3 linked regions of the Diceros bicornis minor genome follow. The protein of the gene in region 1 interacts with the protein of each later gene in a pairwise test. Links are inferred from orthologs where the notes say so. Each region holds a gene or a part of one and is shown on either strand. Other genes may lie near its edges. The genes, in order: GLRX3, CA9 and MAPKBP1.

Region 1 (3,746 bases):
GAGTGTGTGGGAGGCACGACAAGGCGGAGCGGAAAGTCGGGGAGAGGACACCACCTGGAGAGTCAACGTGAGGGGGATGCCAAGGGGAGCCAGGGACGGCCCCGAGGTTAGAGGGGCCCGAGAGAGAGGGGTGCGGGGGTCCTGGAAGCAGGGGCGAGATCCTGGAAAGGAGCGTGGGGGTCCGGGAGCTGGGCCTGTGGTTCTGGGAGGCGGCGCACCCGCCCGGGCCCTGCTGCTCCTAGGTCACCGTGGGTGATGGGTCCGCGCACGGGCTGAGCCCAGGGGTGGCACCGCCGGGGGCGCCTGCGGCCGGACACGCGGTGGCGGGGGTGCGTGGTCCTTCAGGACCGAGTTCGAAGCGCCCTGTCAGTGTTGACATTCGGAGACGGCGCAACCTCCCTTTCCCTGACCTCTCATTCCATCCCCGGCTTTGCATAATTCCATTTTAGATTAAAATTTCAGCTTGTTACATGGGCACACCTGACTTCACTTACACACGTCACCCACGCGCACACCCCTCTCCCGGCTGCTGGAGGAGCCGCGAGGAAGGCCCGGGGCCCCGGGAGGCAGGAGGCCCGACCGCCCGGATCTCCGAGGGCGGGACTCCCGACAGTCAGGATCCTCGGGGGTCAGGCGCTGCTGCGCCCCCAGGCGCGGCCGGAAGCCCCGCGCTCCGGCACTTCAGTCTCCGCGCGCGCAGGCCCCGGCGGGGCGGGGCGGGGCGTCCGCACGCAGCGTCCCGAGGCCCCGCCTCCGCCGCCCGCGCTCGATTGGTCGTGTCTGGCGGCGGCAGCATGGCGGCGGGGGCGGCTGAGGCGGCGGCGGCGGTGGTGGAGGTCGGCTCGGCCCGGCAGTTTGAGGAGCTGCTGCGCCTCAGAGCCAAGTAAGCCGGGCGGCGGGCGGCGGGGGCGAGGGCACGGGGCGGCGGGCGGCCCGGCTCGGCTGGGCCTGGGCGGAGCGGCCGGGGCAGCCCCGGACCCCCAGCTCCCGGCCCGGAAGAGGAGGGGGCCCGTCCCGACCCCCGGCCCGCCGGGCGCTCCAGGCCCGCGCCCCGATCCTGCCTGTCGCCTGGCGGCCTGGGCGCGGCGGCCGCGGTGACTCAGCCCGGCCGGAGGCGCGGAGACCCCGCCGCCGGTCCGCACCCGGCGGTTGGGGCAGGCCCGGCGGGGGCGGTCCTGCCGCCCTGGAGGGGGCGGGTGAGGCCTGTGGACACTCGGGCCGCGCTCGCGTCCCAAGCGCGCCCGCGGCTGCGGCCGGGGGTTTCCTGTCTCCCCAACCGGCTTCGCGGGCTGTCCCGGTGGCACCCGGCCTCTCGCTCTCGGACGACTTCAGAGGCCGGCAGGGGTGCGTAGAGCCCCTGTTGGGGGACAGATGGACATCCCGAGCCGTACAAACGCTCACAGTCAGCTCGCGGGCGCACGGGGGCTTCCTAGGGGTGGTACCACTTCCCCTTGTAGCGCCCTCCGGGGACCGGGTGGTTCTCGGCGGTCCTGCTGGTGGGTAAGATGCGAGCTCCGGCGTCGGGTTCCTGGGAGCCGGTCCCCAACTCAGCCGCCTGCTAGCCGTGGAACCGCTGGGCGGGTTTCGTTACCAGACCTGAGTTTCCTCCGCGGGAGATGGGTTGGAATCGTGCCCGCTTCGGGGCTGTGAGGATTAAATGAGAGGATGCACGTAACATAATGGCATGCCATGTCATAGCCTTGCATGCGGGAGCCCTGTGTTCAGTGGGGAGCAGAGGGCTTGCGTGGAGTTCACAGGCAATAAGTACTTGTTGACCTGAATGCAGTGGGATTGTGGATTAGAGGCGGGTAGTGCTCTGATTGGAAGAATGAGATGGAGAGTGCAGATGAGATGGGGAGGTGCTTTTGTTGAGAATGGGGTTAAGTTAACAGCTCTTGCAGCATTTCAGGTTTACTTGGAAAATTGTTTAAAAAAAAAAAAAAGCTAGGGGAGGTGGCCGGGAAATGACGTTTACTCATTGATGAAAGGCGGGTTCTGATTCATGCAACACGCCACAGATCGTAAAGCAGCACGGTTACGGAGTACTCCAGAGGTGGCCTCCTGAAATGAGCAGGGCTTGTGTGGACCTGCCCTTAATAAGTGTTTGAACTTAGTATCACTTGGAAGACTCTTTTGCTTTTTGTGTGTTTTCACATTTTTGTTTTTATGTTTCATTTTTTTAACATAAAAGTCTTTAAAAATAATACAACTGGTAAAAGCTTAAATGTGAATACCATTTGGGTGTTTTCTTGCCACTGGTCTGTACTTGAAAGGACCCAGAAAACAACATACCTTTTCCATAATGGTTAGTTTAAATGGGCACGTGGGAAATGACGCGTGGCATCTGGGGAAGGAATAAATCTCTGCTGCTTTTTGTGAAAATGGAAAAGTTTAACATTATTAAATAGTACTCTTCAATGTAATCAAAGTGTACTTTCCAAATCATCACTTCTCAATTAAAAAATTTTGTATGAGTTGAAATTTTTTTTTTGCTTCAGTCATCTAATCAGTTTGTTACTGAAACCTCAGTTGGTCTATACAATGGGGATTAATACCCATTTGCAGAGTAATTAAGGTTTTGCCCATTTATAAAATATTAAACAGAGTCTAGTATATGATAGTGTTTAATAAATGGTAGCTGGTGTTACCTGCGGATGAATAACCGTAGGAGCAGAAGACCCTTAATAGAGAGACAACCATTTATTGAGCACTGATTGTTTTATTGATGAAGAACTGAAGCTCATTACATTGTTTAAAATCACATTAGTCAGGATTTGACCCTGGTCTTTCTCTAAAAGTTTTCCTTAAACAATGCACCCTGCATGTTGGGCTATCCACAAAGGTGGAGAGAATCCTGTCACATATAATCCAGGAGGGGATGACAGCATTTATGTTTGCTTCACGTTTATGTTCTTATGATATTACGTATCCTGTACTTAATTGAAAAGTGGAAGTTAAGCATCTAAATTTGAGAATAGTGTGGATAATTTAAAATAACAATTAACATTGTTAATTAATATCATTCTTTAATGTTTTCAAAGTGCTTTTATATTCTTGTTTGATCTTCCCAACATCCCAGGGTGTTAGTTATTGTTATTTTACAAATGTGGAAGTTAAGAGAAGTTAAATTACTCTTCAAAGCCACATTAGTAGTAATGGAATTTAAGTTGTGTGTGTCCTTTTCTGTTTTACGTATGTTGGCTCTTACTGTTAAACAGTTTGGTAACCTATTTTAATTTTTTAAAAACTGTAATCATATTGTGAGCATTTTCTCATGCCATTAAAAATTACTTGAAATATGATTTTTAATGGTGTTATAATATTTTATTGCTTGACCATTAAAAAACTATATTGTTGAACAATAGATTTTTACAGTTATTTTCTATGTAAAATAATGGGAAAGTATTCATATACATAAATCTTTGTCTTTTTAATTACTTCCTTAGGGTAGGTACTTAAGGTGTGTAAGAAATTTGTGAAAGGTTCCTATTTATTTATTTATTTATTTTTGGTGAGGAAGATTAGCCCTGAGCTAACATCTGTTGCCAGTCAGTCCTCTTTTTGCTGAGGAAAGTTGGCCCTGAGCTAACATCCGTTCGCATCTTCCTCTACTTTATAGGTGGGACGCCACCACAGCATGGCTTGGTAAGCAGTGCCTAGGTCTGCGCCTGGGATCCGAACTCTTGAACCCCGGGCTGCCGAAGTGGAGCATGCAAACTCAACCACTCTGCCACCAGGCCGGCGCC
Region 2 (3,746 bases), on another chromosome or scaffold:
TCTGCCTATTTCTGTATTACCTTCTGAGGCAGAATTATTCACTTTCCTCTAAATATTATGATAATATTTGCCATCACTCACTAGACAGTGAGCTCCTCAGGACAGGGACCGTGTCTTATTCATTTCTTTACCTCGAGTCCATAGCCCTGTGCCTGACACATGGTAGATGCTAAATGAATACTTGTTAATTGTAGGAGTGAATGGCATTCCAGGCAGTGAGAACTAGAGGAACAAATGTGGTCAAAGTTTTGGGGAAAAAATGAATAGTTTAATTTGGCTGGACAATGAGGGAGAGTAGCAGGAGATAAGATGGAAAGGTCTCTCAGGTAAGATTTTGAAAGGACTTGGAAGTCAGCTAGAGGGGGCAGATGGACAGATGGACGATACTTTGGTAGGTAGTGGGAAGCCAATGGAGGTTCTTGAGCAGAGGTGTAATATGATGAAAAATAAATTTAGTTTAAACCCATCAGAGTCCCTCTCATACATATACTCAGTTTTCCATTCACACTCAAATTCACCTCCCATCTACTCATCCATTCCACCACCACCACCCCCTCCCCGACCCCGGGCTCCTCCAGATTGTCCTACCCCTTTACTGCTCCCTGGCTGGGCCAAGGATGTAGACATGGGTTGCTTCCCCTCTCAGCCAGAGGCTGTGGGGGCCCCAGCTCCCTGTCTTTCCCTTTCCCTGCCTGGGGCCGGGAAGTAGGCCAGGGTTAGCTGGAGCTGGCTGGCGAGCAGCCTGGCGGCACCAGGGAGAGCCTGTATAGTGCCAGGTGGTGCCTTGGGTTCCAGGCTGAGCCCATGACCCCGATAACCTTCTGCCTGTGCACATACCTGCCCCCCACTCCACCCCCATCCAGGCTTTGGTATCGGAGAGGGGGCACAGGGCCAGACAGACCTGTGAGACTTTGGCTCCGTCTCTACAAAAGGGCATTCTGTGAGTCAGCCTGCTCCCCTCCAGGCTTGCTCCTCCCTAACCCAGCTCCTGTCTCTGATGCACGTACAGCCCGTACACACCATGTCCCGACACCCCGCAGTCAGCCGCATGGCTCCCCTGTGCCCCAGCCCCTGGCTCCCTCTGTTGATCCCGGCCCCTGGCCAGGACCCCGCTGTGCAACTGCTGTTGTTACTGCTGCTCCTGGTGCCTGCCCATCCCCAGAGCCTGCCCCAGATGCAGGAAACTCCCCCCATGGGAGGAGATTCATCTGGGGAAGAGGATCCACTGGGCGAGAATGACCTCCCCAGTGAGGAGGACCCACCTGGAGAGGAGGACCCACCTGGAATGAAGACTGAAACAGAAGAAGAGGACTCTCTGAAGTTAGAGGACCTACCTACTGTTGAGGCTCCCAGGGACACTAGAGGCCCCCAGAATAATGCCCACAGGGACAATAAAGGTAAGTGGTTGTCAGTCCTCCAAACCTAGGCTCTGGCAGGTTCGTGCCTTCCCTCACCAACCTCAGCCCACGCAGTGGTTCTTCAGGGAAGGAGAGGAGCCTGCACTCTGACAACAGCCTTTCCCAACCCCAGGGGCTCCCATGCCACTAGACCCTTCTCCCCTTTCAGAGCTAGAAGGGGACGGATGGGGAGACAAAAGTGGGACACAGATGGAGAGAGGTGAGCAGGGAGAGATGGGAAAGAAGAAAGCGGGAGGTTGGAGAGGAGCAAGTGATGAGGAATGTGGAGAGGGAGAACATAGGTGGTAAGAGGGAAGAGTATGAGAGAAGAGACGAGGGAAGATGAGGGGACCAGAGGAAGAGGAGGAAGGACTTGTAGAGATCACCCCATCTTCAGTCTGCAGATGAAGAAACTGAGACCTAGGAAGAAGGAAACAGCAGGTAGGGGAACATGGTATCATGAATCCCAAGCCAGGAACTTTTGGAAAGGAGTTGGAGAAAAGAAAGGGAAGAGGGATGAGTGGGGAGGAGAGGAGTAAGGGAGAAAGGAAAGATGGGGTACTGATTTGGGCGTGGGACTGAGGCCCCACCCACTTTGCAGACCGTAAGACAATGGCTGCAAACTGGTATCTCCAAGGCCAGTAGGGTCTTTGTGTGGCCCACCAGGCTGTGGTGGTATGTTTGGCTGCAATCTATTGTGCTTTACACGTGTCCCGCTTTAGGCATTTCTGTCACTTGTCTGCCCTGTAAGGCATCTGAGTTTGTGAACCCCTGCTAGTGAGAGGGGCCCACCGCGTTCTGGCCACGGGGAGAGACTGGGCTGAAGATCGGCCTTTTCATCTCATTTATGCAGGTGATGACCACAGACGCTGGCGCTACGGAGGTGAGACACCCACCCCCTGCACAGACCCAGTCTGGGCACCCAGCTCTTCTGATCTGCCCCTCAAACATCCCCGAACTCTGGTCCTGGGTGTCCCCCCACTGCACCCACGTCTGCCAGGCCCCGACACCGCCCGCTGCCTGTCTCCGTCCACATCCCGGATTTCTATTTCCCGCCCCGATGCCTCCTGACTCTGCCCCTTACTTTTTCTACCCCGCTTTCCTAAAAGTTCCCGATCTTGTCACCAGACTTCCTGCCCATACTTTCCCACCCCAGGCGACCCGCCCTGGCCCCAGGTGTCCCCAGCCTGCGCAGGCCGCTTCCAATCCCCGGTGGATATCTCCCCCGAGCTCACCGCATTTTGCCCAGCGCTGCGCCCGCTGCAACTCTTGGGCTTTGAGCTCCCGCCGATCCCAGAATTGCGCCTGCGCAACAATGGCCACACGGGTGAGGGGTTTCGGGGTGGAGCCTCGGGCGGGCGGGGGGCGGGGGGCGGAGGCTATCTGGGGGTGCGAAGGAGCGTGGCGAAGCGGGTGGTGCTCCGGAATTGGGCTGGCCCTCCGGGCGGGGCCGGCCCGGCTCACCTGCCTCTCCCGCCCGCAGTGCAGCTGACCCTGCCTCCAGGGCTGGACATGGCCCTGGGCCCCGGGCGGGAGTACCGGGCCTTGCAGCTACATCTGCACTGGGGGGCTGCGGGCCTCCCGGGCTCGGAGCACACGGTTGGCGGCCACCGTTTCCCGGCCGAGGTGAGCGCGCAGCTGTCTGCCAAGGGGGGAAGGGGGCGCGGGCCCTGGATCTTGCCCACTCCTGCACTCATGTCCTCTCCAGATCCACGTGGTTCACATCAGCACTGCATTTGCCAAAGTGGACGAGGCCCTGGGGCGCCCGGGGGGCCTGGCCGTGTTGGCCGCCTTTCTTCAGGTACCAGCCCTGGACACTCCCGCTCCCTGCTTCCCCAGGCCCCGGGCTCCGCGTATCCTGCTTCCAGAGACCCCATCCCAGCACACTCACCCTAGCACCTGGCTGTCATCCTCATTCACTCATTAGTTCGTGCGTTCAGTATCCACTGTGAGTTAGGCACTGGGCCAGAAACCGTGGGTCCTTGTCTCTCAGGAACCCACAGCCAGTCAGGGAGGCCGACAGGAGGGAGGCCGACAGGATACACATATATGAGAGTAGTCAGAGTAAAAGAGGCGGTCAGGAAGGCTTCACAGAGGAGGTGAAACTTGAAGCCTTCACTATGGGAAAACTCAGAATATAGCCCATTCAGGGAATGAGTGGCAGATGCACTAGACTGGGCATCAGGAAGAGTAATTTCTCTAATACTCCTATAACCCATAATTTCCCCTTTGTGAAATGCACTAAAGTCTAGAGAAACATTTAGTGACCTCTTTGGACCTGTAGTGATCAAGGCGACATACACAATGATTAGAGGAGGCTGATAAAATGGAGGGCTGGTGAGACACCTG
Region 3 (3,746 bases), on another chromosome or scaffold:
AGATGAGAGTAATTTGGGGAACATTTTCCCTAAGGGATAAACCAGGGTAGCTTTGGACAGGAAATGACTAATGATACTTTGTAAACACCTTTGCCTGGCCATGAGTGGTTAGGTAAGTGAGAAAACCACTAGTGCACACAAAAATGATCTGGAGAGAATTGAGGACAACTCTTATGGGTAGAGATGGCAGTTGCTGGGGAATGCAGCATACAAGTAAGGACACCAGGTGGCACCATCTATTAGCAGTTACAGATTGGCTCCTACCCCCACAGAGAGGTAAAGTTACAGGCTAGCAAGGAGTTGAAGGAACCAACCCCCTATTTCATACTGTGTGGCTAATGACTCTTGCCTCCTTCGTCTAGATTTGGGAAATAAATGTGAAAATCTCATTTTGTATTTCCTTACATCTGCAGTGCATGGTTGAAGGGAAGGAAGCTTCTGGTAGGTATTGCCAGTTGGTTTTCTAGGAGGTGGCTTCCTTGATCTTTGTGTCAACGTGAGCTTTTTATAGATTTCGTTTTTAAAACGTGGCTACAATACACACAGGTACATACTTATTTTGCCACTTGGCTGTACAAGACCCACCCACAGCGATGGGTTTAGAGGTCCTTCCCTCTTGCTAACATATCTCCCCCAGGGGTTCCAAGGATCTGGATAGGCTGAGACAGGTACACCAGTGTATTTTTTCTCTGGGACCCCAAGTCTTTTAGCTTAGGCTAACCTTTTCATAAGGCAATTTCTTGAAGTAGCAATGAGACAGTAAGGCTTCCAGAAAATAAACTTGCAGGCTGAGACATCTATGAAATAGGAATATGTAAAAGTATTTCTGTGCCGCCCGCCCCGCCCCCCCCCACCCCGTTTAGAAAAACTATGCTGCTAAAACTAGTGCCAGCAAGCTTGACAGTGACCTCGCTAAAGTAACAGTACTAGGGAAAAGGTTTCACGAGAAAATTTTGACATAAACAAGGAAAACATCTGGACCAACAAGGTCCTGGTTAATTCTAGGTAAAAGAGCTCGGCGGGACTAGCTAAAGGTTAAAGAAACCATGAAACAAATATATCCCATAGGCACATTCACTTATCTTCCCCTTCCCGCACATGCCTAAAGCTCTATTCAAGGCTATCATCTCCCTCCTCTTTCTTCCATCATGGCCAATCAGGTTGCCCAGTTCAAAACACTTTAGCGATGGAAAGAGTTAGGAGAGTAATTTCCACGTAGGTCAACGCGGGCGGGCAGGCGGAGAGTAGAAACTAATCGCTTTAAATTCCCCGGTTTGGGGTCGATGGGAGCAGAGCCTTATGGCTGTACCTCAATCTTACAATTCTGACTTAGGGGTTAGTTTCAGTTCTGGTCTCTCGGGCCTATCAAATGCCAGCTGTAGCACCCTGCGGGCGTGGTTACCATCTTGTTGGGGCTCTGGGAAGTGCCGATCTCTAGGGGACCAGTCCTGATAATACCATAAAAGGCTTGGTTCTCTCAATTCTGAAGCCGTGTTCTGTTGACCTTCCTCTAGGAGCGATACCGCGGCGTCTCCGTTTGCAGAATCCGTGGTTCTCGAGTCCCATGTCCTCTGCTTCCTAGCCGCTTTCATTGGCTCCGCCCCCATGAACCTTACTCGTCCACTCTCGGAACGCCCTCCTGGATACAGACCGCACCCCCTCGCTGCGGCTCCGCCTACCCCGCCCGTAGCTTGGCCCAGGCGGTAGTTCGCGTTTTGAGCCGCTCCTGCCACCATAGCTGCTCTTACAGCTGCCGCCGCGGAGCTAAGAGCGCCGAGCGCGATGCCTGAGGGCGCTGTGAGCCGGGCGGTCCGGCCCTGGGGCTGGTGAGGCCGGGCCCGAGCGGGGGCGCTGGCGAGTAGCAGGGGTTTCTGAGGGAGGTGAAAGAGAAAGGTCCAGGGCTCCTGTGGAGCACCAAGAGCGAGCTCCGGAGGGTCGGGGGTGGGGGAGGGAGGCTCCCGTGGCAGAACGAGTTGCCGGGCCACAGCGAGCCACGCCGCGCCGAGTGTCCCCGCAGCCGCTAACACAGGTGCCCAGGCCCCTTGCGGGACTTCTCGGTGGCCTCTTGCCTTGGACACTGCAGTTGCCATGGGAACAGTTGGGAATTAACGGGGACCAGACCAGCCACTAGTCCTACTAGGGCCCGTCCTATCCCTCCAGTTAAACGCCTCTGGCAGGCGTGGGCCTGGCATTTCGTCATAGCTCAGGCTTTTTACCCCCCTTTTTCATGGGTCTATCCTTCAGACGTTGTAAGAAACCGCGCAGGGCTTGAAGGCGGGGATGAGGAAAAGGGAGAGAGCAATACCTAGAAATAAGACCTGCAGACACGGCTAGGCAGAAGGTAAGGTGGCCTCTGCCATCTCAAGTCAGTGAGAGGGCATACTGGAAGGCCCTGTGGAGTGGGAAGGCAGTGCCACTGTTGAGACAAGTCCCAAGATTGGGCAAGGAACTGTCCCAGGGGCTCCTCATCATGATGGCTGTGGAAGGGTCAACCATTACCAGCCGGATCAAGAACCTGCTGCGATCCCCATCCATCAAATTACGCAGGAGTAAGGCAGGAAACCGGAGAGAGGACCTCAGCTCCAAGGTGAGTCCTAGTGTTGGGAGCCACCCCTTTGTAACCCTCCCCTCCTCTGCTCCATGTTCCTCTTTCACCTTCCTCTTTATCTTTGGAAAGAGGAGAACTAGAAGCTCCTGTTGGCTCTAAAGGATCAAGTGTGCCCGTCTCTGCTGCTCAAGAAAGCATTGATTTAGTTTTAGATTAAAGGAAGAAGAGCACAGGGTTGGGCATGCTGAGAATCATCCATGAAAAGAGAGAAATAGGAGGAAGGCAACTTGGGTTTAATTGTGGCCTCACTACAACCTAAGTCTGTGCTTGGGGAAGCCAGTTGATATGCTATGACTCAGTTTCCCTTCTTGGAAGAAGGTGGTGAGACCACATACCCTGTGATGGGCTAAGCTGTGACTAATGTAACTACAAGTGTTAGTGTCACAGCTGGGGTTATGTAAGACAGTAGTAGCAGAAAGAAATATGCTAAAACACCTAGACTGAGGAATTGGCTTGGTAAATGCCCTTGCCTGGGTCAAAACAAATTTATTTGTCTCTTCAAGAGACTTAGATTAATTTAACTGAAGCTTCTTGGCTTCTTAGGAATGGTAACATGCAAGGAGCCAGATATCTGCCCGCAGAACAGTTCTGGTTTGCCCTTGAGCATTACTTATCTCATTCACTAGATGCACAGAGCTCTGCTGCAGAAGTACCTCAGATGCCAGGTCACTTTCCATCCCCTCACTTGTCTGGGTGTTGGTCTTTATGCTTTCTTCAACTTTGTTGAGCCCCACAACTTTGACAATACAAAAGTAGACTAAATTTATTTAATCTCTGAGGGGGTCTAGGGTTTTGTTCCCACAGGATCAGATTAGACTTTTGTGTCTTATTAGTAGGCTGTAAACACAGTAGCTTTATGTGGTACAGGATTGCTACAGGGAGAGACATTTGAGACCGAAGCGTTTTATTGCCTTGCCTGTATCACGTAAAGCCAATGAGGAATGATTTAGAGTGCTAATGTACAACATGGCAGGGTTCTGGGAGGGATTTGTTCAGATCCCTACCCCTTAGCAGAACCTTACTTGGATTTGGTCAGAAGGTGAACAGCTTTCCTGTATATTTCAGCAGATATTGTATTGAATTGAAATTGGCCACAAGGTTCCATGGCAGTGGAGATAGTGACCTTTCTAAGGTCTCT

What was found.
Region 2: the proteins of GLRX3 (region 1) and CA9 interact in binary tests that used the Homo sapiens proteins (3 or more experiments, as listed by UniProt). The two-hybrid records come from large-scale screens. The link is inferred for Diceros bicornis minor from reciprocal best matches to the Homo sapiens genes GLRX3 and CA9.
Region 3: the proteins of GLRX3 (region 1) and MAPKBP1 interact in binary tests that used the Homo sapiens proteins (3 or more experiments, as listed by UniProt). The two-hybrid records come from large-scale screens. The link is inferred for Diceros bicornis minor from reciprocal best matches to the Homo sapiens genes GLRX3 and MAPKBP1.

The regions. Positions count from the first base shown.
Region 1 is NC_080745.1:92,341,514-92,345,259, forward strand, and holds the start of GLRX3 (glutaredoxin-3), read left to right. Parts: upstream 1-773; 5' UTR 774-794; coding exon 795-883; intron 884-3,746. UniProt on the Homo sapiens protein: Together with BOLA2, acts as a cytosolic iron-sulfur (Fe-S) cluster assembly factor that facilitates [2Fe-2S] cluster insertion into a subset of cytosolic proteins.
Region 2 is NC_080767.1:4,100,134-4,103,879, forward strand, and holds the start of CA9 (carbonic anhydrase 9), read left to right. Parts: upstream 1-921; 5' UTR 922-997; coding exon 998-1,397; intron 1,398-2,250; coding exon 2,251-2,280; intron 2,281-2,553; coding exon 2,554-2,724; intron 2,725-2,880; coding exon 2,881-3,023; intron 3,024-3,105; coding exon 3,106-3,198; intron 3,199-3,746. UniProt on the Homo sapiens protein: Catalyzes the interconversion between carbon dioxide and water and the dissociated ions of carbonic acid (i.e. bicarbonate and hydrogen ions).
Region 3 is NC_080744.1:39,433,839-39,437,584, forward strand, and holds the start of MAPKBP1 (mitogen-activated protein kinase-binding protein 1), read left to right. Parts: upstream 1-878; 5' UTR 879-1,826; intron 1,827-1,944; exon of another isoform or gene 1,945-2,244; 5' UTR 2,245-2,470; coding exon 2,471-2,587; intron 2,588-3,746. UniProt on the Homo sapiens protein: Negative regulator of NOD2 function. It down-regulates NOD2-induced processes such as activation of NF-kappa-B signaling, IL8 secretion and antibacterial response. Involved in JNK signaling pathway.